Arabidopsis thaliana: one gene and its partner. The protein of the gene in region 1 interacts with the protein of each later gene in a biochemical or structural test. Each region holds a gene or a part of one and is shown in the gene's direction. Other genes may lie near its edges.

Region 1 (7,167 bases):
TCTACTCATTTATGCATAATGTACTAAGTGTTGCAATTTTTTTCATGGTTATAGGTACAATCTCCGCTTGAAGTGATGAACATCCGCCCTAGTAGGGATGTTGCAGTTTTGGATTTCTCCTACAAGTTTGGTACAAACGTGGTACGTACTGCAACAGTACTTAGCTTGTTTTGGTGAATGGTATATTTAGTATCTGTGACTCTACCTGATATGCTGGATCTTTTATAGGTCAGTGCCAAATTACGCATCCCGGCAACCTTGAATAAGTTTCTTCAACCTCTACAATTGACATCTGAAGAGTTCTTCCCTCAATGGAGAGCAATCTCAGGGCCACCCTTGAAACTTCAGGAAGTGGTATGTATCTCCACAGCTTCTCTGATCAAATATCAAACTAAAAGTATTTGAGTAGCGCAGGATAGTAGTCAAAGGCTTCTAAGAATTTTCTTTTCAATGAAATTAGTGAATTAGCTTTCGCTACAACACTTATAGAGAACTTCCAACACTTCTACACATGCTCGTTAATGCAGCATTACTTTTATGCGTTATATAATCTGATACTGCAATCTCTTTCAGGTAAGAGGTGTAAGACCTCTAGCTCTTCCGGAAATGGCAAATCTGTTCAACAGTTTTCATGTGACGATATGCCCTGGGCTTGTAAGTAGTTGTTTACGATCTCAAACCTTCATTCCTCATGCACACATGTATACTTCAAACTTAACTTGTATTGTTTTTTGTCGTAGGATCCAAACCCTAATAATCTAGTGGCAAGCACAACCTTCTACTCTGAAACTACAGGAGCCATGCTCTGTTTGGTGAGATTTCACCAAGTTTCACTTCCTGGTTTTGGCACTTGCCACTCCAATTTCTAAAATTTCTTAAGACTTATAGTAATGACGTGTGACATTTTCCTTGGTTTGCGATTTTCAGGCAAGAATTGAAACAGACCCAGCGGACAGAACCCAACTACGATTGACAGTAGGCTCGGGAGATCCTACCCTTACATTTGAGTATGATATATCTGCCTCTTAATCACAAACCCAACCTCGATCACAGATTTTCTTCATTTGCAATTGTTGACCCCTTTTATCTACAGGTTAAAAGAATTCATCAAGGAACAATTAATTACTATTCCAATGGGATCTCGAGCTCTAGTTCCAGCAGCAGGTCCAGCACCATCACCAGCAGTTCAACCGCCTAGCCCAGCGGCTTTAGCTGATGATCCAGGAGCTATGCTTGCTGGCTTACTTTAAATTCATTGGGATAAAAGATTACTTGCACATGTCGAAAAGTTTGTTTTCTGTTATTGTAGAATGTAATGGCGAAAATATGGAATGATGGGAGAGTAAATGTAGAGCCAAGGGAGAGAAAAAAGCTAGTTTTGATTATATTTGTGCCGTTTATCCAAAGCGGGCGGGTTGCGTTAGGTAAGAAATTTTGCATTCATTCTGAACATTTGTATTGTGAGGTCAGTGGTTGTATCAGCTTGTTCTTGTGCCTATATATTTTCAATCTGTTTCTCCATGAGTTTTCTGATGGGAGGTCTGTTTTTTCGCACCAGCCTTCACATTGAGAGATTTTAATGTTGTCATAAAGGGGGGAAATTGCAAAAACACATCCAACGCATAGCATTTCACCTGTAAAAACCTGATCTAATTTGAGGTGTGAATAGAGTGGGGACTTGGCCTTGGTGGGACATTCAACCGACATATATACAACCAGATTTTTACTATTACTTTGAAGAATATAATTGAAAGAAAATTTTTTTTTTACTATTTTTAATTTTCTTACAAACTGCTTATGGATTTAAAAGCTGTTTTATCAATTTTTGCATGATTTTTTTTTGTTTTTACTACATAATTTGTAATTGACAAAAGTATGATTTTTTTATATTACTATATCATTTGTAATTTTGCAAATAAAAAAAAATATAAGAACCCTAGATCCGGGGCTTGTGAAACAAGAGTGATTAAGCAAAATTTGAGTAAGTCTGACTTTTGCAAGTTTGCTTCACCAACATCAATGTCGCTCAAGTTGAAGAAGCAACTTCTCTTAAAGTATCGAATACCCTAAAATTTGTCATGCCTTGAAGAAAAACTCAACCGAGATATTGGAGCTGTTCGAAATACCTAAGAAATCAGCCGATGTTGCTAACGCAAAGGGACAATATCTTCCATAAAACTAAAAATGTTCAATAAGCAGGGCCGACCCAAATCTAAAGCCCAGCAAGCTGATGCTTTATCATCACAATCATATAAAAGCCTTGTAGTTTAATGGTTGGTGCTTCCATTAGTTATATAAGTTTACGAGTTCGATACTCAAACTGCCAAACAACAACATCCTAGGAGCATACGCTATCGCCGTCACTGCTTTTCTAGCTCAACAATTCGTCCTATTCATCGTCTTGTAGATTATGATCTTGTTATGAGACACATTTAGTATTTCAAAAACGAGAGTAGTGACAATACTTTCCTATTCACCAGAGTAATTTGGTTGCAATGATTCTAGCAAAATTGTTATCTGAAATATAGAGTATCTAAAATCTTTATTCAAAAGATTTCATAATACATTGAGTAAAATTATAAAATGCTCATAACAAAAAATAATCAAATCAGCACTGCGTATAAACCATTTGTTTCGTTCCCACTAATACCAACAAATACCATGTCTGACGAAAAAAAAAAAAAAAAAGTTGGGACCAGCTAAACCATTGCATGACCTGACCTGACCCGAATTCATAACCGGATTTTCTCATGGTACATTTTTTTTGTTAAGGATTTTCTCATGGTACATTGAATTACAACTGAATGCATTGACCGCGACAGAAAACAGTCATTTTAAAAATAAATGAAAAAGTGAAACCAGAAACAGCAGTAAATAAATATTACCCAAAAAGGCAGAAGGATACACTTTTTAACAAAATATTACGCAAACTTATAAATCCTCAAATTTAGTCCAAATGTCTAGACGCGTTAATTCTGTTTTTCGACGGGTCAATTTCGGATTCCAATTTCAAAACAGACAAAAACTGAATTACACAAAATTGAATAGTCAAAGTTGTAAATAAAGAAAAATAAAAGTCGTCTCTCGTCTCTCTCCCGCAGGCGTGTCTCTCTTCTCCAAAGATCAGTCTCTCCTTTTGAATTTCTTCGATTGAAGGTGCCATTTTCCGTTTCTAGATTGGGATTTCGATCTCACCTCTCTCGAATTGCTTATGCTTCAGCTTTAGTCTGTGGTTTATCTCGTAGTTAGATCCGGTGCCGCGAGTTTGGATCTGCGCCGTGTGAGGCGGCGGAGCACGGTGGATTTGAGGATTTGGTTCAACCATGACCGGAATGAGAGGTCTCTCCGTATTTATCAGCGACGTTCGTAATTGCCAGAACAAGGAAGCGGAGAGACTACGAGTTGATAAGGAGCTCGGAAACATTCGTACATGCTTCAAGAATGAGAAGGTTACTCTCAATTCTCTCCATTCTATTTTCTATGTTTTGATTCTCATTAGAGAGGTAATTCAGTGTCGAGTATCCGCTGAGGTTTTGGTTTATTAGAGATATTGGAGATTTATCCTTCGCAGTTGCAATGCCAATGCAATCGAATGTTAGAGCTATTAGGTTGATTAGGGAGTTAGATAAGAATGTAGATGAAACAAAGATACAGTCACTGGTCACATGCCGAGTGGATAGTTTTGGAGCTTGTAGTTTCTTACTTTATCGGATTGAGGCAATAAATTTTGATTTAACACCAATTGTGAAAATAGATAGGCAGTATAATGTTGCCGTTGTATAGCTAGCTCAAATCCTTGTAGATTAGCAATTATTCTACCTTTTGAAACATCACTACTATTGCTTTCAACTTGGAATTTCATTACTGAATATATGATGACATTTAGGAACTAGAAGAAAAGAATGGTCTGGCAGTAAATTCGGTTATGTAGTGATGGTCTAAGAAATTAAATCATGGTCACGGAAAATTTTGAATAGCTCATTACGAAGTAGATTAAGCTTTGTTGCTGTAAGAACTTCTGGAGTGAAATTCTTGTTCCATCTTACACGTAGCAGAGCTGTAGCAGGCCTGTAGTGGATCCATGTGTTTCCAGTTGGACCAACATTAAACTTATTCTTTTTCGGGGTTCATGTTAGAAATGAATTAATCAAGAACTCTTTGATTACTTGACATTCTGTTTTATTTTTGCAGGTTTTGACACCATATAAAAAGAAGAAATATGTCTGGAAAATGCTTTATATACATATGCTAGGCTACGATGTGGATTTTGGCCATATGGAGGCGGTTTCTCTTATATCTGCGCCAAAGTATCCAGAAAAGCAGGTAAACCAACGTTTTGTTTGCTCAAACAAAGAAATTTTTCTTTGTAAGGCTAGGAGAAGATAATAGATGGAGGTGTTTGCTGAAATATATTCTATTGATCAAGCTGAAACAAAGAAAGTTTCATTGAAGATCACACAGTTAGATCTAGATACCATTTCATGCGTTTGCAACTTGACTTGACCTGGGAAAGTATTGCAGACAATTACTTATAAGCACGAGTTACTTAGTAACATCTTAGAAACTCTTAACCAGAACCATGCATTGTATCTCAAGGGTTTGTATTTCCAATTTATATTGTTTCATGCTCCTTAACTAATTTGCAGGTATTGAACTTTTCATCCATGATTACAGGTTGGCTACATTGTTACATCTTGCTTGCTCAATGAGAACCATGACTTTTTGAAGTTGGCAATAAATACAGTGCGGAACGATATTATTGGTCGGAATGAGACTTTCCAGTGCCTAGCACTGACCTTGGTATGTGGTCTTTTGTCCACCCTGTATTGAGATTTTAGAGCATAGTTAGGTTCTTCTGATTATAAGATGTTGTTAAATGACTGTTTTAATGGAAGTCTTTGGTACATTATGTCTTTTGTGCTCTATCATTTCACGATTCAGAGCCACTTACTTCATGAAACTGGTCCTTTCTTTCTAGCTTTCTTACCTTGCCATGCTTACGTTCTCCTGTAGGTTGGAAATATCGGTGGAAGGGATTTTGCTGAATCATTGGCACCTGATGTTCAAAAGCTACTTGTAAGTGACTCCTAAAGATGAGAGGTTATATTTTTTTCCAATATTACTAAACATATTATGTTATGGGGTCTCTTTGCTGCAGATTTCTAGTAGTTGCAGACCTCTTGTAAGGAAAAAAGCAGCACTGTGCCTACTGCGCTTATTCCGAAAAAATCCTGATGCTGTCAACGTGGATGGCTGGTGTGTATAACACTGTGGGGTTACTGGTTCTTTGATTTTACTAGTGCATCTTTCATATTCTCTTTGTCGTATACTTCCAGGGCGGATCGTATGGCACAACTTTTGGATGAACGAGATCTTGGTGTCTTGACGTCTTCTACGAGTCTTCTTGTAGCTCTGGTATCTAATAATCATGAGGCGTACTCAAGTTGTCTACCTAAATGTGTCAAAATATTAGAACGCCTTGCTAGGAACCAAGATGTTCCTCAGGAGTACACATACTATGGCATCCCATCTCCTTGGCTCCAGGTTTGACTTAACTCGGCTTATTCACTCTTGTTTAATAGCTTAAATATTCTTTAATCGCATCCTTTTCACAAATCCTGTGCATTTTAAACATTTTATGTGAAATTAGCTTATGAAAATAGAGGCTTGGCCCAGCTTTGGTGTATTTTTGTTACTCAGTTAAAGATATCGTGGATACTTATATATCTTTGGTTAGTACAGGTTAAGGCAATGAGGGCTCTTCAATATTTCCCGACCATTGAAGATCCCAGTACCAGAAAAGCTCTGTTTGAGGTTCAATATTTTCATGTGTAAATCTGTAATATATGTCTTTGAATTTCCTCTCATGGCATGGCATTTCATGGAAATTTCAGGTCCTTCAGCGAATATTGATGGGGACAGATGTTGTGAAAAATGTGAATAAAAACAATGCGTCTCATGCTGTGCTGTTTGAAGCTCTATCCCTGGTAAGTTCGTCGGATAGCTGGGGAAATGTTGATACCATGAATTTTACTAGTGGGCACCTATTTTTCTCTCTCTTCCCCTTCACCCCTGCTCAACGTCCTGTAAAGACGCATTTACTCAAAGCAGACTACTGATGTGTGCATGGACGTTTAAAATATATTTTTTGGCTTTGCTAGAGAAACTTCAAGTGTTTGAATTGCTTGCAGCTAATTGTACGATATTCTTTGTCTGTTGTTTTTCTTGTGTGAAAGTAAAATAAATTTAGATGCTCTGCTTGAAGGTTTCGCCACTATTTCTAAGAGGTTTATCATGGATAGTTGACTTAATTGTTCCTAACAGTTCTCTGGCTTAGTGTGCAACCTCCTAACTTTTTAATGTGTTTTGATATAGGTCATGCATCTTGATGCTGAGAAGGAAATGATGTCACAGTGTGTTGCTCTTCTTGGCAAGTTTATTTCTGTCCGTGAGCCCAACATCAGATATCTAGGCTTGGTGAGATCTTGCATACCACTTCCTGCATCTAAGCCTAGCTGGAGTAGTTTGTGAAGTGGTTGGTGGTTTCTCATGATGCATTTTTTGACAAAATTACAGGAAAATATGACGCGGATGCTGATGGTCACAGATGTTCAAGATATCATAAAGAAGCATCAGTCTCAGATAATCACCTCCTTGAAAGACCCTGACATCAGGTTGGTTTAGATTTGCCATCTAAGCATCAGCTTTTCTGGCTTGTGAACCCGGATCAGTATCTCGTTACTGTTCTAATTTGGAACCAGTACGACAGTTTTTCAATCATCAAATCGGTCTTACTTCTTATGATTTAATATACCGTTTTTTACTTTGTCTCTATAGTAGTTGTGAATAAGATTATTTCTGTCAGCATTAAAATTATTTGATTTGGGTAGTATATATGAAATTTTAAGAAAATGGGATCTATATTTTTTAGTGAAACATTATTTGTTGATTTGTTTTCTTGTGATAAGCTATAGGTATAATTATATGTGGTATACGGTCACATAAGAAATATTATATTATTATATTATTGGCCGGTGGGTCAGCACTATTTCGATGACGTTTGTTAGTAAAAGATGGATAAGTACCACAGTCCATTATGTCTTGATCTTATTTCCATTGCAAATGGTGGCTTCCGTTTTACAAACATATAGTTTGATTTATCATCTC
Region 2 (7,167 bases), on another chromosome or scaffold:
AGTTTTTGCTTATATACTATTTTACATGGACATTAATTGACTGATACATGTGACCAATCTAAGTGCAGAGGATTTAAACACTTTATCATTAGAAAATGATAATATTATTTTGGTTTAGGTTAAATTAGGGGAATCCTTGGTGTATCACAATTTATTTGTTGGAAAAGTGTTTATTCGCACATGTGCTTTCTTGCTAATTCTTTTCAAGTTCTAGCCACCCTTTAACTTTAATAATTGATATTGCTAAATTCTAAAAATATCATAACAATGCAGACACTTTAAAAATTAAAGGAAACTAATTTGTGAAATTTCTTTTTCTTTTCACGTGTTTACAAAAATCTCATCCCAAATATTGATCAAATATGCAACTTGTATAAAACAAGAATTATTTGAACTAACTATATGAGCTCAAACTAATTGACCAGTCTATATATGACCTCTTTTCTTGTTTTAAAAATTCCAGCATGTATATGATTTTTGTAAGGAGAAGTATATGATTATTGATGGGCACTCAAAATCTGAGGAAGTTTGAGATACACAAGTGGTGGGAGCGAAAATAAACTGAAGTACAATTTTTCTGCACCTTCTTTGGGAAACATAGATAATTATACTTGTTTTTTATTTTGAAATAGTTATACTTTTTGACGACATAAATTATTCTTTGCATGATTTAAAATTTCAACCTACATTTATGCTTGCAATTTCGTAATTACTTCCGCCTTTATTGCTCATCTTTAATTCTGCCTTTTCTTGTCCTTATAGACATAAACATTTGTGTGTTTGTGTGTGACAGCAGTATTTCCCTATCTGAAAAACAAGAATATTTTGATTTATTAGTAGTTTGAATTATGAATTGCAATTAAGTTATGATTAGGTAGTGATAATTATTTCTCATGGGGTAGTCCTTTTCTTCAAATCTCTTGTGGCGATGGTTCGTGTATTAAATCGTCATGTGCCATAATACCATTAACCTAGCTGTAATAATTTAATGTACCGTTAAAAAGGTTACAGTTGCTCTGTCTATATGTTATTACTCTTAGCCCCGTATTAGCTCTCAAAGCGTACGACCACGCAAAAGCCTGCAATGCCACTAATTAAGTTTCATTCCACATGCCATATATCTTCTTTTGTCACGATTATATTTCCCATAATTGAGATTTCACATGCACTCTATAGTTTTATGTCGTCATGATATACATACATTGGGAAATTATACGACCAATACGAGTAAACGAAATAAAAAATGAATGGTCAATTATATGACACAATTCAAATTCTAAACGGAACTAAATTTTAGCCTCTATGGTTATGTATACTATTATTACAGTCGATAAGTGTGAAGCGAGTCGACGCGGTATATCATACACCGATCGAGCCACAACACGCGACCTCTCATTATATTAAAATCACATTTTTATGCCACAAATCAAAGTCGTTGTTGTTAATTTGGTTTAATTGAACTTTGTATTATAACTCGGTTTAGTCTTCAAATACAGCTGTCTTCCTATTGATCGCTTTGTTATCTTATGTCAGCCATTTTAAGACATTTGACTTTACTCTCATAATCATCCTTTTCTGTACATTTATTTGATTCTTACGGTTCTAATTACCTTTCTATATATATGATATGTTTTTGTCAAAAGCATCAAGTGTTTTTGTAGTTTATATTTGTAGTTTCTAAGTTTATGACTTTGGAAAAATTAGGAACGTTCTGGCACCACATTGTAATATGCATGATCGGAAATTTTGTGGTCCTCTTGCCATAATTTTCGCGCACCAACAAGTGTTTTTATAGATTTCGTGTAATCGTTTATTTTTGAAATATTTTATAGCTTTCTGTTGACTGTATATTTGTGATTTATACGCAATTCTTTAACATATACAGAAACAGAATGTCGGTAAATAAAAAAGAAATTATATAATCGAAAATGATTGTGGTAGATGTCATCGTGATTAACATAGCTTAACTAGCATCGAATAGCAGCATGTAATTTAAAAATGTTTCATTGAAATATATGTGTGATTTTCAATCAGAATTAGTTTGGCTTTATTTCAATCTGGTGGTTGGAGATTAGTTTTCTCACACAGTGGAAATTTCCTGATCTATTATCTTGTTTATTATAAAACTAAGAAAACCAATAATTGCCAGCTAATAGCAAAATTAAAAAAAAACTATAGGAAAAAAATAACGAAGATATAGAATTAGTCCCTAAAGAACAAAGCCCACCTCCAACGACTACTTTTTTCACTATAAAAACAACTCTTTTCCATGCAGAAACACAATCAATCACTTCTTCTTCATCTTTCCTCAAAAATAAAAACATTTTCTCCAATTTGTTCTTCTTTAATAATTTGGAGAAAAAAAGTCTTAGCTAAGACTGAACATTATCCGGTGAAGAATGGCGACTCCGGCATGGAGTCATGCCAAGGCTCAATGGGTAGTCGCCATGTTGGCGTTACTCGTTGGCTCGGCTATGGCTACCGAACCTTATTACTATAGCTCTCCTCCACCACCGTATGAGTATAAATCTCCACCTCCTCCGGTTAAATCTCCTCCACCGCCTTATGAATATAAATCACCACCACCTCCGGTTAAGTCTCCTCCACCACCGTATTACTATCATTCACCGCCGCCGCCAGTGAAATCCCCTCCCCCTCCTTATGTTTACAGCTCTCCTCCTCCTCCGGTGAAGTCCCCTCCTCCCCCATACTACTACCATTCACCGCCTCCTCCGGTGAAGTCTCCTCCTCCTCCATACTACTACCATTCACCACCTCCTCCGGTGAAATCCCCACCACCACCATATTACTACCATTCACCACCTCCTCCGGTGAAATCCCCACCACCACCATACTACTACCATTCACCTCCTCCTCCTGTGAAATCTCCTCCTCCTCCATATTATTACCACTCCCCACCTCCTCCGGTGAAATCCCCACCACCACCATACCTTTACAGCTCTCCACCACCACCGGTAAAATCTCCCCCACCTCCTGTCTACATCTACGCTTCTCCCCCACCTCCCACACATTACTAGGCTCATCAAATTCAACAAAATTTCCCCATTATTCAAGTAAGTCCTATACTTATACCTTTACCTCATAATCCGTTTTAATAATTGTGCCCTAAATAAAATCGGAATTTCTTCTTTCACAGGTTTTCTTTTAAAAAATGAAATAAAGGAAGGGTCAAAGTCAAAGAGAAGAAGAAGTGAACCAAATAAGGATCGTGGCGTGGAAATCAGAAACAAAACATCTCTAACAACGATCCACATCACTTCCTCTTCTTCAATGTCGCTCATCTTCCACTTGTGCATCATTATCTTTGCGTCTTCGTCAAGTCAAATTGTTTCCAAGACCCTTTTAGATCGTATCATACTCCTCTTTGTTCCCTTTTGTTGTTAAGTGAAAAAATGGGTTTTGGTAATTTAATTGTTGTGCATACATTTTCTATTTTGTTATTCTTCCGTTAATGTAATGAAAGAGTTGTTAGCATATAAAACAAAGTTCAGTTTCTTCTTTCTTTGGATTATGCGATATACAGTCATAACATTTTCTATCTTAAAACATAGTTCCAACGACAAAAGTAGTTCCAATGACAAAGTTAAAAGACATATTCTTTTAGGTTGGGCACGACATTGTTTCGATCTGTTCGTCCAGAGAAAGTTATCATTGCTTCAAAAGGTGGGAAAGTGGAAGTAACACATCACTTTGATCTCATTGGATCATTAATAATTGTGTTTATGTAATACGTCAGAGACTCACTTTCATTCAACTAATTTCCACCTACTCTTTTTGTTTCAACCTTAAAAAAAAAAAATATTGAGCAATACTATATGCTTAATACAAAACCATTGACTAAAATTAAAGAATGTTGAAATGAATTAATATCAAAGTTATAGTTTATATTCTTCTATTTAATCGAAACATGGAACCAAACAAAAGCAAATGAAAAGCAGCAAGTGCTGAAGAATTGGTTCGAAATAAGTGGAGTGGTTGTACTTTGGGCTTTGGGATAGCATTAGCTGATTTTGAGGCCCATTGGCTAAACGTATTTGGTAATTTGCCTCCAATTTTTTTGTCACCGTCATTTTGTTTGTTGTTTGGCAACGACACCTTCCAAACTTTATCGTTATGCTTAAGTTGATTTTGATAAATTAATTTGATAATGATGAAGTGAAATTCAATGAAGCTAATAAACACAATTTTGATAAATTAATTTGATTTCAACAGTACTGAAATATATAGTATTAGGTCTAGTAGCTTCCAACTCCACTAGACATAAAGCAATTTTGTCCCAACAAAAGTTTTGGAATAAAGCATATTGTATCTTCTCATTTCCAAACTGTATATGAGAATAGAAACTTTATAAAACTGGTTAGACCAAAGTAATAATTATGTTGTTCTCAATTAAACAGCTGTGATTTTTCAAATCCAAACATTATATTGATTTGGAGCGCCTTAATAATATTCTCCGTGTTTAGTTGCGCTGTCTTATTTGTATTATTCTTTTTTTTTTTCACTATTTCATTTTTATTTATTTATTTTATCTGTTGAATTTTCTCTTCTGGCTGCTGTTTTCCTCTCTCTCTCTCTCTAAACTCGAGAATTTTTGTAGAGAGAGGAGGCAAAGTGCGAAAGCTAAACGCAGATCCACGATCAATCTCCTCCACCTTCAAAAGCCTTCAAAAGTGTTTCTTCTTCGTCTTCTTCCTTTTATTATCTGTGCCTTGACAGATCCACGATCCGATTCTGGTCAAATTTTACATTTCTGCAGGTACGATCTTAGCTCTTTTTGTTCTTTCATGTTCATTATTCTTTTTCTGGATCTATTGTTTCCATTTTTAAATTTCCGGTTGATTTTTTTATCTTGTTCGATGTGATTCTATTTTGTGGAGGGATGTTATTAGCTTTAAGATCTGTGTGAGCTGCGTTTTTGAATGTGAATCTTCCTTTTTATTCGATTTTGATTGTTACCGTTTGAATTTTTAGTCTGCTTAGGAGTCGGATTTTGTTGATTTTGACTTCTTCTTTATATCCTTTAATTGTTGCAAAATTCGGAAATTTTGTTACGAGCTGGGGATTTTTTCCACTTCCTTGAGATTGTTTTAGGGTGAATCTGAACAAAGACAAATTCGATCATTGCTGATTGCTTTGTTGCCGTTCCTCAATTCCATGTATCTGGCTCTTACGATTGTGTAATTGAAATGAGATTATGATGAAGAATGATTCGTTTGTTTCTTTTTGTTCTATCTATACATTTGTGGTGATATATATATATATCTTTGTTTGAAACGTTAATAGATAAGCTGCTCATACTAGTTATACAACAGACTCCATAGAAGGTGACATTTGTTTAAGATACTCTTGTTCCTGGAACACATACGAAGATGAAGAAAGTCTTCGGACAAACTGTTAGAGACCTGTAAGTATTTTCGTACCCGAAATTTAATGATATTCTCAATCTGTGTGTGGTTTATTTCTTTTTTCATTGACGGGATGCTTCATTTTATGTTCCATTTATTCAGTAAGAGAGAGGTCAACAAGAAAGTGCTCAAAGTTCCTGGAGTAGAACAGAAGGTAATGGATGCTCTTAGCTTCTTCTCTCTTTTTCTTCTTATCAGAAATTCTTCCGCAGCAGAGATTTAGATACTGTTTTCCATTTTTATGCTTGAGTTTATCAATTTCTTTATTTGTTTCTAAAAGGCTTTTATAAATAGAGAGCTTATCTTGGTTGCATTCATCGTCTTGCTAAACAATGTAAAGCGAGATATCCAACTTTCTCTTATCTTGTTTTGTCTGTGCTTTCTCTTATTCAGGTTCTAGATGCTACTAGTAATGAGCCATGGGGTCCACATGGATCACTTCTTGCTGATCTTGCGCAAGCTTCCAGAAATTAGTAACTACGACCACCTTCCAACTTGCTATATTTTGCTGCGATTTTGGACATTGCACAGGAATTATAAAAACATGTTACTTCTATTTCAGTCATGAATATCAGCTGATCATGGTGGTCATATGGAAACGCCTTAGCGACACCGGAAAAAACTGGCGGCATGTCTATAAGGTAAACAATATTATTGTCTTGCTGGCTTAATTTGTGTTGAATTTCTGTAGCAGTGACTAAAGTATTTCATGCTGTTTACCTCTTCTCTCTCCCCTTCAGGCTTTGACAGTTTTGGAGTACATGGTAGGCCATGGATCAGAACGTGTTATAGACGAGATTAGAGAACGTGCATATCAAATTTCGGTAATGACTACCTTGAGTACATTATTTTGGAAGTATTCAACATCAAGAGAATCCTTTAGTGCTATATCTCAGTAGTTGACTATCTTACTTGTATATATGTCTATTTTCCTTGTGGCAGACATTGTCCGATTTTCAGTATATTGATTCCGGTGGTAGAGATCAAGGAAGCAATGTTAGGAAGAAATCACAGAGCCTGGTGGCTTTGGTGAATGACAAGGAAAGAATAGCTGAAGTCAGACAGAAGGCTGCTGCTAATAGAGATAAGTAAGTTTGCTTGTCATTGTATCTTTCTGGAACTGGTGGATAGTTTTCTCTCTGTGTGAGTCTCGGTGGACACTCGTTTGATTTCTTGTTGCTAGTGGCTTACAATTGTTATTATGCTTCTCGGTAGTCTATTAATTGGTAGTACTGGCACTTTAACTGTATTAGCTTCTGAATTTTGAAAGTTTTTATCTCGAGAAAAAAAAATGACATGTCTTTTGGTTCATTCAAAATATGCTGAACATATCAACCTACATTATTTTACAACAGGTATCGCAGCTCAGCACCAGGTGGGATGTATAAGCCTTCAGGCGGATATGGGGATAAATATGATTACGGAAGCCGGGATGAAGAGCGAAGTAGTTATGGAAGAGAAAGAGAATATGGTTACAGAGATGATGATAGAAATAGTCGTGATGGAGATCGTCATTCCAGGGACTCTGAAGACCGGTATGGGAGAGATGGTAATAGGGATGATGATTACAGGGGAAGGAGCAGAAGTGTTGATAACTATGGGTCACGAGGTAGGAGTTCGGAAAGAGAGCGGGAGGATGATGGCCATTCTTCATCACGGTATGTTAAATTTCAAGTCGCCTAAATCCTGAAATAAAAAAGGAAGGGGAAAATTTTGAAGATTATCAACTCCATTTGGATAG

The links.
Region 2: the proteins of alpha-ADR (region 1) and AT2G43160 form a complex in vitro, tested with the Arabidopsis thaliana proteins (one study listed by BioGRID).

Annotation. Positions count from the first base shown.
Region 1 is NC_003076.8:7,584,183-7,591,349, reverse strand, and holds the start of alpha-ADR (alpha-adaptin), read left to right. Parts: upstream 1-3,027; 5' UTR 3,028-3,323; coding exon 3,324-3,449; intron 3,450-4,191; coding exon 4,192-4,323; intron 4,324-4,674; coding exon 4,675-4,800; intron 4,801-5,013; coding exon 5,014-5,076; intron 5,077-5,158; coding exon 5,159-5,256; intron 5,257-5,336; coding exon 5,337-5,544; intron 5,545-5,742; coding exon 5,743-5,814; intron 5,815-5,894; coding exon 5,895-5,987; intron 5,988-6,375; coding exon 6,376-6,477; intron 6,478-6,576; coding exon 6,577-6,674; intron 6,675-7,167. Other genes in the region: AT5G22780 (Adaptor protein complex AP-2, alpha subunit), read left to right, coding at 55-141, 229-354, 574-654, 741-812, 928-1,007, 1,094-1,250; AT5G22785 (uncharacterized protein), read right to left, coding at 1,506-1,634, 1,645-1,707. UniProt on the Arabidopsis thaliana protein: Subunit of the adaptor protein complex 2 (AP-2). Adaptor protein complexes function in protein transport via transport vesicles in different membrane traffic pathways.
Region 2 is NC_003071.7:17,943,494-17,950,660, forward strand, and holds the start of AT2G43160 (ENTH/VHS family protein), read left to right. Parts: upstream 1-4,306; 5' UTR 4,307-4,777; intron 4,778-4,859; exon of another isoform or gene 4,860-5,177; intron 5,178-5,304; exon of another isoform or gene 5,305-5,333; 5' UTR 5,334-5,390; coding exon 5,391-5,425; intron 5,426-5,528; coding exon 5,529-5,580; intron 5,581-5,819; coding exon 5,820-5,899; intron 5,900-5,988; coding exon 5,989-6,067; intron 6,068-6,166; coding exon 6,167-6,250; intron 6,251-6,368; coding exon 6,369-6,514; intron 6,515-6,781; coding exon 6,782-7,084; intron 7,085-7,167. Other genes in the region: AT2G43150 (Proline-rich extensin-like family protein), read left to right, coding at 2,400-3,038. UniProt on the Arabidopsis thaliana protein: May have a role in transport via clathrin-coated vesicles from the trans-Golgi network to endosomes. Stimulates clathrin assembly. Binds to membranes enriched in phosphatidylinositol 3-phosphate (PtdIns(3)P). Plays an important role in protein trafficking.